Notamacropus eugenii: one gene and its partners. The protein of the gene in region 1 interacts with the protein of each later gene in a pairwise test. Links are inferred from orthologs where the notes say so. Each region holds a gene or a part of one and is shown in the gene's direction. Other genes may lie near its edges. The genes, in order: TFIP11, CEP57 and TNNT1.

Region 1 (5,095 bases):
TACTTTTTACCCTGTGGCCCTGAGAAATGGGCATGGGTTTTGTTTTCTGACTGGTTCATTTGTCCTTTTCAGTACTAGGCACAGGTGGAATCCCTGTTTTCCAAAGTTCAGATCCAGTGACCTCCTGCCAGCCAACCAAGCAGGAAAGCCCTGAGAAGGCAGGGGAGGGTGGTGGGACTGGAGCCCAACATGGGCTTTTAACTTGGAACTTGGGGGTTCTGTGCTATTTAGGATCTGAGCTAGGTTGCAGACCTAATCTCTTCCTTTGATTGGGTGCTTGGGTGCATTGCTTGGACCCCAATTCTAAAATCACATTTCTCTCTAAAAATCATATTTCTCCCCAGCCCGAAGATAGCCTGCCCTAGCAAAACCTTTATCTCTCTTCTTGATACAGTAACCGGCTGCACCTGTAGAATTTATTAGTTTGAACCAGCTGTGGACTGGTTGAACTGGCTGTATACTGGGTCATAAAGATATTCACTGCTCAATGACCTATCATATGTATCCTAGACTTAGACGTATGGATACTCCCTCATGTTTATCTTGTCCAACAAGACATTGATAGGGGCAGCCTGGGTATTTCTCAATCAGCCCAGACCATTAGTGATGTCTCAGGCCTAAAAACACACTTCCATGTAGCCCCTCCTTAGGCTATTTCCCAGTGAACTCTGGGTAAAAATACCTGCTCAGCAGCTTCTAAAAATGCATGTTCCTTTAAGTACTGACCACTTCCTAATCCCCCCAATCACCTAGTTAGCATATTTGGCACATGTTATACTATGAAATATCCTAAATAAATTTTACCTGTACCCTTTTCAAATCGCAGGTGCCTTAAGAACTCCTGTCTGCTGAAAAGCGTAACCATAAATTTTTACCACCTTGACTTCAAAAATGCTTGAGTCCATGAATTCATTCCAGATGACCTGCCCCTGTGCTCATCCTGCTTTTTGGCAGGATGTCTCAGAATCCATCCCCTCCCTTTCCAATCCTTATCACCTTCATCTCTCCATAGCTGAGAGAGGGTGTGTGTGTGTGTGTGTGTGTGTGTGTGTGTGTGTGTGTGTGTGTGTGTGTGTGTGTGCACGTGTGTGTAGGTGAGGGGGGTGAGAGGTGAGTATGCCCCTCAGGTGTTGGGGCTGAGGTGGGAAAGTTTGTGTATTTATTCTTATTATACCTTTAAAGTAAATATTCCTTTTTAAAAGTTATTCCCTCCATTAAGTGATAAAATGGAACTGAGGCACAGGGGACCCCTAAAATTGAGGGAACATCATTTATGGAGGCTGACACCAAAGGCAGAGGGATTTAGACCCCTCCCCAAACCCTTTTAAGGGTATTATAGAACCCTGGGCAAAGCAGGTGAAATGTAATACAGCTGATCTTCTGGTAGTCATGATTGAGTTACTGTTATACGTGTAAATCCTGGGCTTAGTACGTACAGTACTGCACACAGTAGGTGCAAAATTAATGCTTCTTGTCTCACTGTGCCTACTTCTTACAGGGGTCTCTGTCTCTGTCTCTCTGTCTTTCTCTGTCTCTCCGTGTCTGTCTGTCTCTCTTTCCTTCTCTCTCTGTCTCTATCTTTCTCTCTCTGTGTCTGTCTTTCTGTCTCTTTCTCTCTGTCTCTGTCTTTCTCTGTCTTTGTCTCTGTCTGTCTGTCTCTGTCTCTGTCTCTCTATCTTTCTCTCCGTGTCTGTGTCTGTCTCTCTGTCTTTCTCTGTCTCTCCGTGTCTGTCTGTCTCCTTTCCTTCTCTCTCTGTCTCTGTCTCTCTCTCTCTGTCTCTCTCTCTGTCTGTCTTTCTCTCTTTCTCTGTCTCTCTGTCTGTCTGTCCGTCTGTCTCTGTCTCTGACTGTGGGGGGGCATGGGAGTTAACAATGGCGGTCCCCCCTCCCCAGTGTAGACCACTGTAACATTTAAAAGCCGCCCAGAGCAGACACAGCTCAGGAGGAAGCCGGACAAGCCGGATAGTTTGAAAGCGAAGCGAAGTTTTGTGACAAAGTGTGGAAAAAAGCCATCGTGTGAAGTGAAGATGCAAGGCGTCCCTCGGGTCCATAGACTGTTCTCTGCTCTGGGGGTGGGATTTTTTAAAATGCAAAAAAAAAAAAGAAGAAGAAGGCGGGGGAGGGGACGAGAGGAAGGAAGAGGAGAAACGGGGAGGGGGAGGGTGAAGAGGAGGCTGATCTGCTCCTCCCCCTCCCATCCGCAGGCGTGGTTTCCCACGGGAGGACCTCCAAAGCCATAGAGACGAGGCCGCTCTAGGACCGGCGTCGCTCATCCCCAAGACAACCCCCCCCTCCGCTTCCGCGTGAGGGCGGGCTTCTTGCGTCACTTCCGGCGCGCCAGGCTCGGCTTCGTTTGGCCGCCGGCGGGCTCGCGCGGACCCCTAGGCGCTGCTCGAGGTGAGAGGCGGCTCGGGAGGCGCCGGCGGCGGTGACAGCGCGGCGAGGACGCTCCGAGGCCCGACCCGGGTCCCCGAGAGGTGAGGGCGACCCCAAACCCCGCCCGGAGAGGGAAGGAAGGGGCCCTGGGGGGGGCATCGCCGGCGCTGTGCCCTCGGGACCCCGCGGCCGGCCCGTCAGAGCTGGGAGGGAGCCCAGAACGGGGGTGTCGGAGCAGCCGAAGGCCGCAGGCCCGACCCCCCACCCGGCCCCGGGTCATCCGGCCGGGGTCCTGGATGAAGGCGCCTTGGAGGCGCCCGGCGCGGGTGTCAGAGCCGGGAGACCCCTTAGAACGCTCGCGGCGGTGCCGAGGCGGTCGGCGAGGGACTCGGCCAGGGTCACCCAGCCGGCCGGGCCTCCTGCCCGTTACGGAGGACGAGCCCGGGAGCGGAGGCTGCCGGAGGCGGAGGCCTCCCCGCTTCATTAGACCCTCCGTAGCCGCACGAGCAGCGGGCGAGGGCAGCGCTCCCCGGCTCCTTAGCCCGGCTTCCCGGGGGCCTTCCTGGAGTGGCCCGATCACCGTCCCCGCCGAGCCGGGCCGGGGTCCGCGCTTTATTCCTCGGTGTCCCCTTCGCAGAACGAGGCGTGTTCCTTCCCCCTAACTCCGGCGCTTTCCCCGCTGTACCCGCCGTCCCCCAGCTCTTCGGGGAGCCTCGTCCCTGGATGGGGCTCCCCAAGTGCCTCCTGCTTCGTTTGTGGCCGGTGTTAGTAACTTTTCAGAACAGCGAGCTCACTAACGGGCCTCCGGTTTATTGAGGTCCTAAGGTTGGGCAAGACTGAAGTATTTGATTATCCGGGTGGAAAGGGAGCGTGGTTGGTATCTCCAAATATTTTACCTTCTCTTACAGGGGAAGAGACATCAGACTTAAATTTTATTTCTCTTTTGGCCTTTGAGGGCACAGCTATTTCCAGTGAACGGGAGGTATGAGAAGGCAGGCTTCAGCTGGACATAGAAAGCACTTCCTACTAATGAGAACTGTCTGGCAGTAGGAGATCAATAGTTTTTTTATCAGGATCTTTCTTCACAGGCAGCCAGATGGTCATTTGTTGTTGGCCCGGTAGACAGGATTCGGGCTGGAGGTTTGTAGTGAGATCTTGCCCTTTTCATCCCTGTCTCCCTTTCTCCACCAGAGTTGCCACCATGTCGCTGTCTCATCTCTACCGAGAGGGCGAAGGAGCCATTGATGAAGAAGAAGATGAGATGGAGAACTTTGAGATCACGGACTGGGACCTCCAGAATGAATTCAATCCGAACCGTCAGCGTCATTGGCAAACCAAAGAGGAGGCCACATATGGAGTGTGGGCCGAGCGCGACCTTGAAGATGAGCGACCCAGCTTTGGAGGCAAACGGTAGTGGGATTCACCGGACAGGGCTGGCTGCTTCTGGGTGCAGCCAGGAGGGAATTAGATGTAGCCACGTGTACTTCTGTCACCTCTGGGCATTCAGTTTTTCCTTCAGGAGAGAATGTGTTGTACCACTTGAGGACAGCCTTTCAGCTCTGGGCAGGTCATCATTCCCTAATGTATACATTATCATCATTGGTCATTGGGCTCTGCTGAAAAGAGCATGTTCATGTTGCGGTAAAGACTTGGTGTGTACTCAGTCCTGTAACCATAGATTATGAATCTATCAGTAGGTATATAGACCATTTAAACTAGAAGGGTCCGTAGAGACCCAGACTAAATACCATCATCTTACAGATCCTGAGCAGCATTCATTCATTCATTCAGCTTCTATTAAGGACCAGCTATTCAAGGAATTGTGTGAGGTGCTGGAGATGCCAAGAAAAGTGGCAGGGGAGGTAGTTCCTTCCATTAGGGAACATAAGTTCTGTGGGCGCATGCAACAAGTACATACAGATAGAGAAGTGTAATTTGAGGAAGGGGAGAAAGTATTAATTGACTTTCTCACCGATGTGTGTAATTAGTTATAAATGGTAACAAGGTGAGGGTTTGGAGAATGACTTCCAGAGGGCTAAGGATTCTCCTGGCAGTGAGTCAGAAATGACATCTTCTAAAGTATCCCTGAAGTAGACTATTTTAAAATCACTATCATATTTTTAATGCATTAATTTCTTAAACCCTTGAGTTATCATGTTATTGATTTCATGGACATGCCGTTTTCTAGCATTTTCCACATAATATATATTATTGGCATAATCATTTCCCCATATGACTTGTTAGATATGGCTCTGCTTTCTTTGTCAGTGGTTTTGTTCCAGAAGATTCTTTTCATTTGACTACTCTTGCTGCCATGGCCATTTAAATATATGTTGTGTTTTGGTTTTTTTGAGTGTAACAGTAGCCAGTGGAATGACTTGGTAAAGTGGAATGTTTAGTAAAGAAGATTAAATGAACACAAATCCTTTGGATCTTTGATTCTTTTAACTAAAATTATAATTTGTGAGGCTTGCATTTGCATCTGGGGCAGAGACTTAGAGTTTTTTGAACTTGAGCTGTGCTCGTTGTGCTTCAGATGTCTATTTTCCAGACTGCAGATGTCTGAGTTACATTTGACAGTCCTTGGGTTCATATCCTTGGATTCATATCAGTTAATGATCTTTTAAAGTGAATCCCTTGTAGCACTGTGTTGGTACATTTCCTGCACAACTTTTCCTCATCTATGATAGCAGTGGCACCTGTCAGCTGAAGAGGCTTC
Region 2 (5,095 bases), on another chromosome or scaffold:
GCTTTTCTGTGACGGAGAGGTCACCATTCAGTGCCCTCGAGAGAGAGATTTAAAAGTGATCTCTACATCCCGGAAGGGGAGAGCTGAAAGGGCAGAGACAGCGACAAAAATACCTCCTGCGTGAGACAGGTGGCTGGCAGCCTCGGGGGTCGGCCCCACCCCGAGATCTCCGCCCTGAGCCCAGGCCACCTGGCGGGGGTGGGTGGGTGGGGGGCTCCCTTCACGCCCCGCCTCGCGCAGACAGAAAAGTCCCGGACTCCTCCAACCCCCGAGGCGCCGGCGACTGGGGTAAGGAGGCGGAGCGCGGGACACCCAGCCCCCTCCCAGGGCCACGTCCGACCAGACCCCGCCCGGCGCACACGGACCTTGCAGAGCTGCTGCCCCTGGGAGAGCTCCTCGAAGGGATAGCGTTGGGTACACTTTGTGCAGGCGTACAAGGCCGAGGCCGCCATCCTCCTCCTTCTCCTCTTCCTCTGCCGCCTGCTGCAACGCGGGGCCCTCCGGGGCAGCCTAGGCACCCGGGCCCGGCCGCGCGCTCCTCCCGATGCTTCCCCCCTCAACCCCCGCCCCGTGGCCACAACGACTCCGCGCTAGGACCCAGCTACAGCACTGCCAGCGCCGCGGAGTAAATACCAACGCCACAGCCGTCTCCCTCCGCCTTGCTTCGCCACCAGCCCTCCCGACCCCGCAACGGTTCCCGGCCGCTCCCTCTTAGGCCCAGACCGCGGTGGCGGAGGGAGACTAAACGGAGAGTCGAGGATTAGATTAGCTGCGAGGCGACAGATCCGCTTCCTTCTCCTTCTCTCTGTACTCTTTCGGATTGGCTGTCGCAGCCTTTACGTCACTCAGGCGCCACTCCCCTACCCTCACCCCGATACGCCGAGAGCCCCTACAAAGGAAGAAGGTCACCAACCAATAGCAGCTCGTTGCCGTCCGCGCGCGAAACTTGCTTCAAAACCTTTCCCCGGCCTAGAGGCCTGCGTCGTTGTGCTTGCTAGTGGCCAATCCGGTGTTCGGGGGGAGGACTCTGCGCTCCAATTGGGCAAATGCCCACCAAAGACTTTTCCCTCCTGCTCTTCTGACTCTTCTTTCTTGACTTCGATTGGACCGAGTACTTTGAGCGCCTTCTATACTGTCTCATCATTGGTCGTACTTCGGTAAGCACCGCCCGGTAAAACCTACCCCCAAACCACGGTCAGACTCATCTTCGAATTTGAGCAATAGGAATGTTTTGTACATCCGAGGCCTTTTACGTCAGCTCGGCTTATCGATTTTGGATGGCCATTTTAAGACACCGAACCAAAACAATACCCGGAGAAGTTTCCTTTGGCCCCATGGCCCCCGTAACCCAGCCCTGCCCCTTCCTTGCGTCGCCTTTGGAATTATCCTGTTTTGTTATTGGCCCTCTTCGCTCTCAATCCGACACCTTGTGGCGTCATCTTGGGGAAAGGGCGGGTTCTTCCCCCCACCGCTCCCGGACGGTGTCCTCTTCTTTGATTGGTTATTTGTGACGCCTATCCAGGTTTGTTGTCCTTTCGATGTGCGTAAGGCGCGCGCGCGCGCGAGGGGGGAGGGTGGGGTAAATCTCCGCCTGCCTAACTCATCTCTGTACCCCTACCCCTTCCCCCTCAGCCCGCCGCTGGCTCGGTGGTGGCCCGGGCTCTGATTGCTGGGGGGCGGATCTCCCCGTGGGGGCGGGGCACGAGCCTTGGGGCGGGGCTGGTGAACTCGGGCAGCCTTCCCCGTAGGAGGAGCCTGCTGGCAGGCGGGAAGATGGCGGCGTCGGCTGGCTATTCTGGATGCGCGGTAAGGAACTGTTTGCGTTCGAACGGGGCCAGGGACGCCCCTGGGCCCATTGTGGCCCCGACGCCTCCTGCCTGGGTCCTGTCGGGTCCCTGGGGGGCCTCCTCCGCTCCCCGAGTTTCCCCAGCTCTTTCCTTCCCTCTCCCCGACCCTTCCGTAGCATCTCTCGCTTCTAGGCTCCCTGGGTTGACCTGGCCCCCGGAGGTGAAGTGATCTCTGCCCCCTGGGCCGGCCGGGTCCTTCCCTCGGCCCAGCTGTTCACGCTGAGCGCTGGGCCCCGTGGGGACCGCCGGGGCTGCTGCGTGCTACCGTGAGCGCGCCCCCGGGTCCGCCTGGCTTCCCCAGCCCGGGCCGGCCCGAATGCTGCTCCGGGTGGCAGAATGTAACTGAGCAGATGCTCCGTAGGGACGAGTGTAGAATCTTACGCTCGGACTTTTAAAAATATGTTTCCACATGCAGGAAGGGGGAGGCGTGTCTGGAAAGATTTGGGGCTTTTAGTGGACTCCGAACTCAAGTTGAGTGAAGTGTGTCATAGTGAGTAAGAAAATTAAGGAACCTAATAGTCTCGTTAATAGCATACGTAATGAGGGTCGTTAAAATGGTCAGATCATATGTGGGTTCAGTTTTGCACAGTACTTAGAAGGACCGTAGTTGAATGGAAAAGAGAAGAATTAGGTTGGGTAGTGCAGTGGAAAGAGGATTTGGAATTAGAGGAGCCGAGGTGGAATCCTGGCTCTGCCATTTATTCGCTGTTTGTGTGACACTGGGCAAATGGCTAAAAGTCTCGGGGTCTGTTTCCTCATCTGTCAAATGGAGGTCTTGGCCTCTGAAGCCCCTGTTCTGTGATCCTGTGAGATATATAGATAGTTGTCATAAGAAGGGTCATTCAGCTTGACAAAAAACAGTGGGTAAATAGGCCAGATTAGGTTTAATTTAAGAAAAAACATTTACAGTTAACATCCAAAAATGGAGTGGGCTACTTGGGTACTCTCACTAGAGATCTTCTAACGAAGGTTGGAAACCATTGTCATTTGACCTTTTCAGATTCTCTCAAATATGCCCACTTCTCTCCTCTGACACTACCGCTGCTCTGGTGCTGGCCCTTACCTCCTCATTGCTGGATTGTTGTAATAGCTGCTGGTGGATCTGCCTGCCGCAAGTCTCTCCCCACTTCATTCCATTCTCCTTTTAATCACCAAAGTCTTTTTCCTAAAATGCAAGTCTGATCACATCTATCTCCTCAATAAACTCCTGTGGCTTCCCACTTTTGCTCATGCCCTTCCTCTTTTTTCCACTAAAATCCTAATTCTTCTTCTAGTCCCAGTTGAAATTTCCACTTTAATAAAGCCTTTCCTGATTAGCCTCCATCCTTCTATAGCTATATGACTGGCATATGTAGCTATGTTTTACCTCCCCTACCAAATTGCAGAGTTGTGGAAGTAAGGGGACCATGTCTAGTATGCTTTTTATCTCCCATCATGTTTTATACAGTCAGTAAACAATTTATTTAGCATCTGCTGTGTTCCAGCCATTGTGCTAAGTGTTGGGGATAATAATAACAACATTTATATAACACTTACCATATGCCAGATGCTGTGACTAAGCATTTTACAATTATCTCATTTGCCCAGGTGCTATTATTCCCATTTTACAGATAAACTTAAGGCAAACAGGTTAAGTAACTTTCCAGGGGTCACACAGGTAGTGTCAGAGGCCAGATTTGATTCAGTTTCCTCATTCCAGGCTCAGTACTCTTATCTACTGTGCCACCAAAAGCAAAATACATTCCCAACTCTCAAGGAGCTTGTAATTTGATGAGAGAGACAGCATGCAAATATGCAGGATAAATTGGAGATAATCAAAGAGGGAAGGCACTAGAATTAAGGGGGATTGGGAAAGACTTCCTGTAGAAGGTGAGATTTTTGGCTGAAACTTAAGAGAATTCTGGGCATTGGGAACACTAAGTGAAAATGCTTGGAATCAGAAGATTTTGTGTCTTGTGTGAGAAATAGCAGAGAAGCCAGTATCACTGGAACACAGAAGATCACTTTGGCAATTGAGTACAGAATGAACTCAGTTTCATCTCACTTCATCTGTTTGTTTTAAGGGGAAAAACCAACCAGCAGCCCATATAACAAATAAGCCTTAGTGATGAGGGCCTGCACCAGAGTGGTGCCATTATCAGAGAAGAGAAAGAAACAATAAATAAACAAAAAATAAATGAGAGAGGTAAAATCAACAGGTCTTTGCAACAGATTGGCTATGGAGAATGAGAGAGAGTGAGAAGTCAAGAATGATAACTATTAGGAAGAGGAAAAGATTTAGGGGGAAAGATAATGAGTTCATATTTAGACCTATTGCATTTTCATGTTTATGGGAATATAGTTCTGAGATGTTGGAGGTGTGAGGCTGGAAACCAGTAGAGAGGTTAGGGCTGAAGAAGTAGATACAAGAACATCACCATAGAGGTGATAATTAAATTTGTGGGAGCTAAAGAGAAAACCAATAAAATAACATGGAGAACATAAGAGGGCCCAGGACAGAGCTCTGTGATTAAACATTTGTTGAAGAAGTAAATGAATAACTGAGTTCCTACTATGTACCCAATGCTACAGGATTTTGTAGAAAATAATGTAGTGGGTCTTTGAGCTCACTAATGTTTATATTACCTTCAGAAGTGCAGATTGTGGCCACTCGGGCCTTCTCACCTTGTGTCTTTCTTGTCCTCCTGTTAAGCCTCCACAGAGGGGATCCACACTCATGCTGAGGGCTTTCCTTGAATTCTTTTGACATTGTATAGACATCAGAGAATCACTTCAACCAGCCCTATCTCCTTTTCTGGTTGTATCATCTCTGATATTTTTAAGGACTCTTGGTATGCAGTTCTTCAACAATAATACAACTGTTGCCTTTATACATTATGTGTCTCCATGGCCCTTTGGTTGACCTCCAACATGGGTGTTATGCTCTGATTCACAGCTACATAGCATTACAAGAAGAATATTGATTTTTTTTTTTTAGTGGCCCTTTGTTTCAGGGAGATATTTAGGGACGTTAAGAGCATTGTCCAATTTTCCAAATGCAATCTGATATGTTCTCTTCATCCTAATCAAACTTGGACCCAATTTAGTGTGCATCTATAGAATCTACCCAAAATATCTTTACTAACGGACCAGTTTTATTGGATGTTCATCCAACGGCATATCGTAGGATAATGGGTATTCTTCATCCACTTGTTTTTCCTATGTATATAGTTTGACCATATAATTTTGAGTGATTAGAGATATATTGT
Region 3 (5,095 bases), on another chromosome or scaffold:
GTTTAGCCTGGGGAGGAAAAGACTGGGGTGCCAGGGGAGAAAGAGCTTCCTTCACTTCTTTGAATGGCTATCTTGGGGAGTGGGCAGAACTAGGCACAGAACTAGACTTGCATTAGGCTTGATGTCAGGAAAAAGTCAATTGCAATGATCCAAGGTGAAATGGGTTTCCTCCTTGGCTTCAAGTAGAGACTGACAATGAATTGTTGAGTTTAAAGGAGATGAGTGGTCATTTGTCAGGTATGTGTGTTGGCCATGGAAGGCTCATTCAAAGTCTGTAAGACAAGGAATTTAGAGACCACAGAAAAGAGAAGGAAACAGACTGAAAGAAAGGAGATGGAGAGGAAGAGAGACATAGAGGCAGAAGGAGAGAGAGAAACAGATGGTGGGAGAGAGGATAGAAAATGATGGAGCAGCCAAGAAACGTTTTTAAGCACTTACTTTGTACTAGACCTGGTGCTTTATCAATGGGGATAAAAAGGGCAAAACATGGTGTCTTCTCCCAGGAGCTCACAGTCTCATGGATGAGACCACAGGCAAACTAGTAGCAACATACAAGTGATATCCAGTATCAGTGGAGGGTAACCTTGGAGCTGGAGGGGGGAGGCACCAGCAGCTGGGGAGGAGCCATGAAGGCTTCCTGCACAAGGTAGGATTGGAGTGGACTCTTGAAGGAAGCCAGGGAGACTAGGAGGTGGAGATGAGGAGAGACAGCATTCCAGGCATGGGGCACAACTGGGGCAAAGGCATGGACTTGGGGAATCAAATGTCCTATCCAAGGAATAATAGGAAGGTGTTTCTTTGGATCATATAGTTTGTGGAGGGGAGTAAAATGTAAGAAGATTGGAAAAGTGTGTGTGTGTGTGTGTGTGTGTGTGTGGTGTGTGGGGGAGAGAGAGACAAAGGCTGTGATTGGCTTTAACAGTCAAGCAGGATTATCTTATATTTGAGCCTGAAGGTAATAGGGTGCCACTGGAGGAGAAAGGAGACAGAGACAGAGACAGAGAGTGAGAGAGTGAGAGAGAGAGAGAGAGAGAGAGAGAGTCAAATCTGCATTTTAGAAAATTTACTTTGTTAGCTGAGGAGAGGATGGATTGGAGTGGGGAAAGACAAGACCAGGAAATGGTCCTGTGGGGTTGTGTGACTGGAAAAAAGGAAACCAAGAAAGGAGAGAATGAGAGAGAGAGAGGAAGGAGAGAAAGAAGGAAGAAAAGAAGAAACTGGGATCTATAGAGACACAAAGAGACTGAGAAACCTAAAGAAAGAAATATAAAGGAAAAAAGGAAATGAGTTTGAAAAGAATAGAAGAGGGGCAAATCCTCCTCTCCCCCTCCTCCCCATCACGTGTCAGGATTGGAAAGACACACAGCAAAAAGACAGACAAGAGAGGTCCAGGCAGAAGACAGACAGGAGAGACAGAAATGGAGCAAGGGTGACACCCAAGTTGAAAGGAGGAGGAGCCCACAATTGGCCCTGCCTCAGAGACCCCGGAATATCTTTGGAGGCTCTCCCCCCTCCCTCAGGCTGGGGCTATAAAGCACTTGCTTCTCTGTCCCTGACTCACAGCAATTGTTCCAGCCTCAATCAAACCCTTGTGGTTTACTGAAGCCTCAGCACCAGTCCCAGGTAATGAAGCCCACTCCCCCCCAATTTCTGACCCCCTTCCCCAAGCCAGCCCCTGGGAGATCTATGCAGATAGAAAGAAAGGGAGACCCAGAGAGGGAGACACACAAAGGTTGGGAAAGACAGAGACATTGCAGCAGGGCAAATATCTGCTCAATAAAAGGGAAAGGTCTTAATAATTAGAGCTGTCCCAAAGTGAAAAGGATTGTCTGGGACGAGTGAGCTCCTTTTGGTGGATGATCTTCAGGCTGAATAATCCATTGTTAGTAATATCCCAGATGGTTCTTTATTCTTGTTTAGGCATAGGTTGGAGTAACTGATCTCTGAGGTCTTTTCCAATTTTGAGATTCTGTGGGTGGGAGACAGAATAGAGAAAGGCAGAGAGAGATAAGGAGAGAGTGGGGGGAGGAACTTGAATAAGAGAGACAGATACAGAGACGGACAGACTGACAGACAGAGTCAGAGAGACGGAGATAGAAAGAAACAGAGAGAGGCAGATAGGCAAGCACAGTGAAAGAGACAGAGATAGACAGCCATAGACAGATGCAGACAGCCATAAACAGTGACAGATACAGACGTAAACAGTGAGAGACAGGTAATCAGATGAGACACAATTTACAGTAAGGGTTGGGATTTGTGTATGTATTGAAAGGAAATCTATTGACCTTCCCATTTCAAGAGTAATGGGTGAGGGCAAAGGGATGGAGTGGAGGGAAAAGACTGGTTGCCAGGAACCTTCTTTTCCAGTACTATTGACTTGACTATGACCTTGGAAAATTCCATTCCTTCTCCAGGAATCAGTTTCTCTATCTGTAAAACCTGAGTAGGGAAGCCAAAATTCACTCAGCTCCTAAGATTTTGAGACTGGGGTGGGTTGGTGGTTTTTCTGACAGCATAGGCTTAAGGTCAGGGGTTTGGTGAGGGGAGGCAAGGGCAGTTCTGAGTCAGGGCCTGTGGGCAGCTCTATCCTTTTTGGGACATATCTCTGGCCTTGGCCCTGGCCCGAGACCCCCAGAAATAGCTTCTGACAGGCTAGGAGGGAACTGGGGGTGGCTATTGTCTGTCCCAAGAATGCCCAGAGATAATCTCCCCGATCAGGTTCCTTCCCATCCCCCAGTGCCCTGAGACCAAAAGACAGGTGGTGGGGATGGTGGGGGAGGGGCCCTAATGCTGCCACCCCCACCCCACTCCATCAGTTCAGTGGCCCCAGAGATCCCCAGCTCCCATCCCTCAGGGACACAAACATTCTGGTCCTTCTATCTTCTCTCTCCTTACTCTCTCCAGGTTACTCCAACAATGTCGGACACAGAGGAGCAGGAGTATGAGGAGTAAGTGTGTGTGGCGGGGCAGCTGGTAGAGAGTAAGAGGATGGGGAAAGCGTCTCCCTTGATGTCTGCATCTAATTTGTTCCTCTCTTTTGTCCCAATCTGCAGGGAACAGCAGGAAGGTGAGTCTTTGGGGTCTGGAGGGGAGGGCAGATCAGAATCCCTGGGTCTTGAGGGTGTGCCCACTGGGGCTTGGACACCTGGGTCCAAGGATCTGCTATTTTCCTGAACTCAAGAATAGCAATGAAGGCACCCGAGGTGCCCAGAGGACTTAAGATCAGGGTAGAGGGTCTTAAGACCCGAGAGAAGGAGGCCCGTTAACTCTTTCAGCACCATGACGCTGTCCCCTCCCTCCCCCACAACACTTTTTCTTTTTCTCTATCCTGTCTGCCCCCTGCCCTCAGAAGAGGCTGAGGCCGCCGAGGAGGAGGAGGAAGGTAAGCCCAAAGGGGCGGGGAAGAGGGATGCTTGGGTGTCTGAATGAGGGGTGATGGCTGTAACTTGGATTCTTATTGCTGGGTGAACCCCAAAGGCCGAAAGGCTCTTGGAGATCCTTGAGTCCCAAGGATGCCCAGTTTACAGCTGGGGGTTGGGTGGTGGCAGCAAGGATTCCTCAGCCCAGAGAAGGCCAAGGGGCTGCCAAGGTCACACAGTGGGTGGGACTTCTACCCCTGGCACCGAATTCTCCCCGTTAACAGCCTCTCCTCTCTCTCCTTCCCCTTGCACCGCTGGCGGGGCCATTCCCCTCCCCCAATTCCTCGCTTCTCCCTCTCCCCCTACCCCAGCCCCTGAGGAGTCGGAGCCGGTCGCAGAGCGAGGTATGGTGGTCGCTTCGCTTCCGTCTCCGGGAACCGGGGCGGGGGGAATATCCCATCCAGACCGCGGCCCCTTTAAGCGCCCCTTAGGCGCGCATTAAACAATAACCATGTCCCCCCCCTTAAAGGGGCCGCACCCACTCCTCTTTTTCCCACACCTGTCCTCTTCTTCCCTCGATATACATTCAAAGGTTTGGGGTCGGGTGGGAGGGGACTTGGGTCCCTCAGAAAGCTAGAGGCTGGGAGATCCTGGATGCCTGAAGTGCTGAGGATGGGTGGAGACTGGGAGACTCGCTGAGGGAGTGGGAGAAGGAGTCGCTGGGGTCTAGGACCAATGAGTTCTTGAGGAATGGGTTGCTGAGTGACAGGATATCTGGGTCTCCCAGCCAGAAGGGACTGGGAGACAGGAAACATGGTTCTCTGAGGGGTGGGGAACCCCCCCCCCAACAAGTTGTGAATGTATATGGTCGCTGTGTGATCCCAGCTCTGCACCCCCCTCCCCTTTTACCCTCCTCCCTGAGGGCAAGAGGAATCGGTACCCAGAAACCTGGAACCTTCCCAATCCTTCTGGGGCTTAAGATCAAAGCAGGCATTAGTCTCTCCACCAGTTTCCCCTCTCTAATTATCTTTCTCTGTCTTCAACTCCCTCCTTACAGAAGAGGAGCGACCCAAACCCAGGTGAGCGAATTTCCTAAGGGTGAATGGCAGAATGCTTGAGCAGAGAGACTCCCCAAACCATGAAAATGATCAAGGATGGAAAGGAAGGATCTTTGTGATTAATTCTCTCCCATTTCATGGATGGGGGAGGTGGGGCTTAGAAAGAGAAAGTCTTTTGTCCAAGGTCACACAGAGAATCTTGACCGAAAGGAAACAGGAAGCGTGCTTAGGAAATGCTTGGTTAATTCTTGCATTGTAGATAGAGGGAAAATGAGGCCCAGAAAAGAATAGGGGACTTGACCAAGCTTGCATAGTGAACCCCCATTTCGTCTTTCCCCAAGCCATCTCCAAGGAGCTTCCAAGTGGCCCCCAGGGGCTTCACTGTCCCAAAGACACCAGAGGTGGACAGATTCTTGAAGATACAGCTGTGTCTCTTAGCTGCCCAAGATTTGGGGGAAGAGTGGAGAAAGGAATAAAAGGGATCTTAGCCCTAATTTTGAGGCCTCCTCCAACCCCTACTCTGTTCCTCTCCCCCATCCCAGCAGGCCTGTGGTGCCTCCACTGATCCCGCCAAAGATCCCTGAGGGAGAGAGAGTTGATTTCGATGTGAGTGAAGGGAGGGGATGCATGGCACTAGGGGCCTTCAGTGTGACAGTCTGGAGCAGCTGGCTTTAAGTT

The links.
Region 2: the proteins of TFIP11 (region 1) and CEP57 interact in binary tests that used the Homo sapiens proteins (3 or more experiments, as listed by UniProt). The two-hybrid records come from large-scale screens. The link is inferred for Notamacropus eugenii from reciprocal best matches to the Homo sapiens genes TFIP11 and CEP57.
Region 3: the proteins of TFIP11 (region 1) and TNNT1 interact in binary tests that used the Homo sapiens proteins (3 or more experiments, as listed by UniProt). The two-hybrid records come from large-scale screens. The link is inferred for Notamacropus eugenii from reciprocal best matches to the Homo sapiens genes TFIP11 and TNNT1.

What each region holds. Positions count from the first base shown.
Region 1 is NC_092875.1:19,810,498-19,815,592, forward strand, and holds the start of TFIP11 (tuftelin-interacting protein 11), read left to right. Parts: upstream 1-2,332; 5' UTR 2,333-2,477; intron 2,478-3,567; 5' UTR 3,568-3,577; coding exon 3,578-3,786; intron 3,787-5,095. UniProt on the Homo sapiens protein: Involved in pre-mRNA splicing, specifically in spliceosome disassembly during late-stage splicing events. Intron turnover seems to proceed through reactions in two lariat-intron associated complexes termed Intron Large (IL) and Intron Small (IS).
Region 2 is NC_092876.1:162,362,935-162,368,029, reverse strand, and holds the start of CEP57 (centrosomal protein of 57 kDa), read left to right. Parts: upstream 1-1,520; 5' UTR 1,521-1,773; coding exon 1,774-1,806; intron 1,807-5,095. Other genes in the region: protein FAM76B, read right to left, coding at 366-452. UniProt on the Homo sapiens protein: Centrosomal protein which may be required for microtubule attachment to centrosomes. May act by forming ring-like structures around microtubules. Mediates nuclear translocation and mitogenic activity of the internalized growth factor FGF2, but that of FGF1.
Region 3 is NC_092876.1:17,796,484-17,801,578, reverse strand, and holds the start of TNNT1 (troponin T, slow skeletal muscle), read left to right. Parts: upstream 1-1,197; 5' UTR 1,198-1,623; intron 1,624-2,904; 5' UTR 2,905-2,916; coding exon 2,917-2,948; intron 2,949-3,053; coding exon 3,054-3,067; intron 3,068-3,349; coding exon 3,350-3,382; intron 3,383-3,730; coding exon 3,731-3,763; intron 3,764-4,416; coding exon 4,417-4,438; intron 4,439-4,959; coding exon 4,960-5,023; intron 5,024-5,095. UniProt on the Homo sapiens protein: Troponin T is the tropomyosin-binding subunit of troponin, the thin filament regulatory complex which confers calcium-sensitivity to striated muscle actomyosin ATPase activity.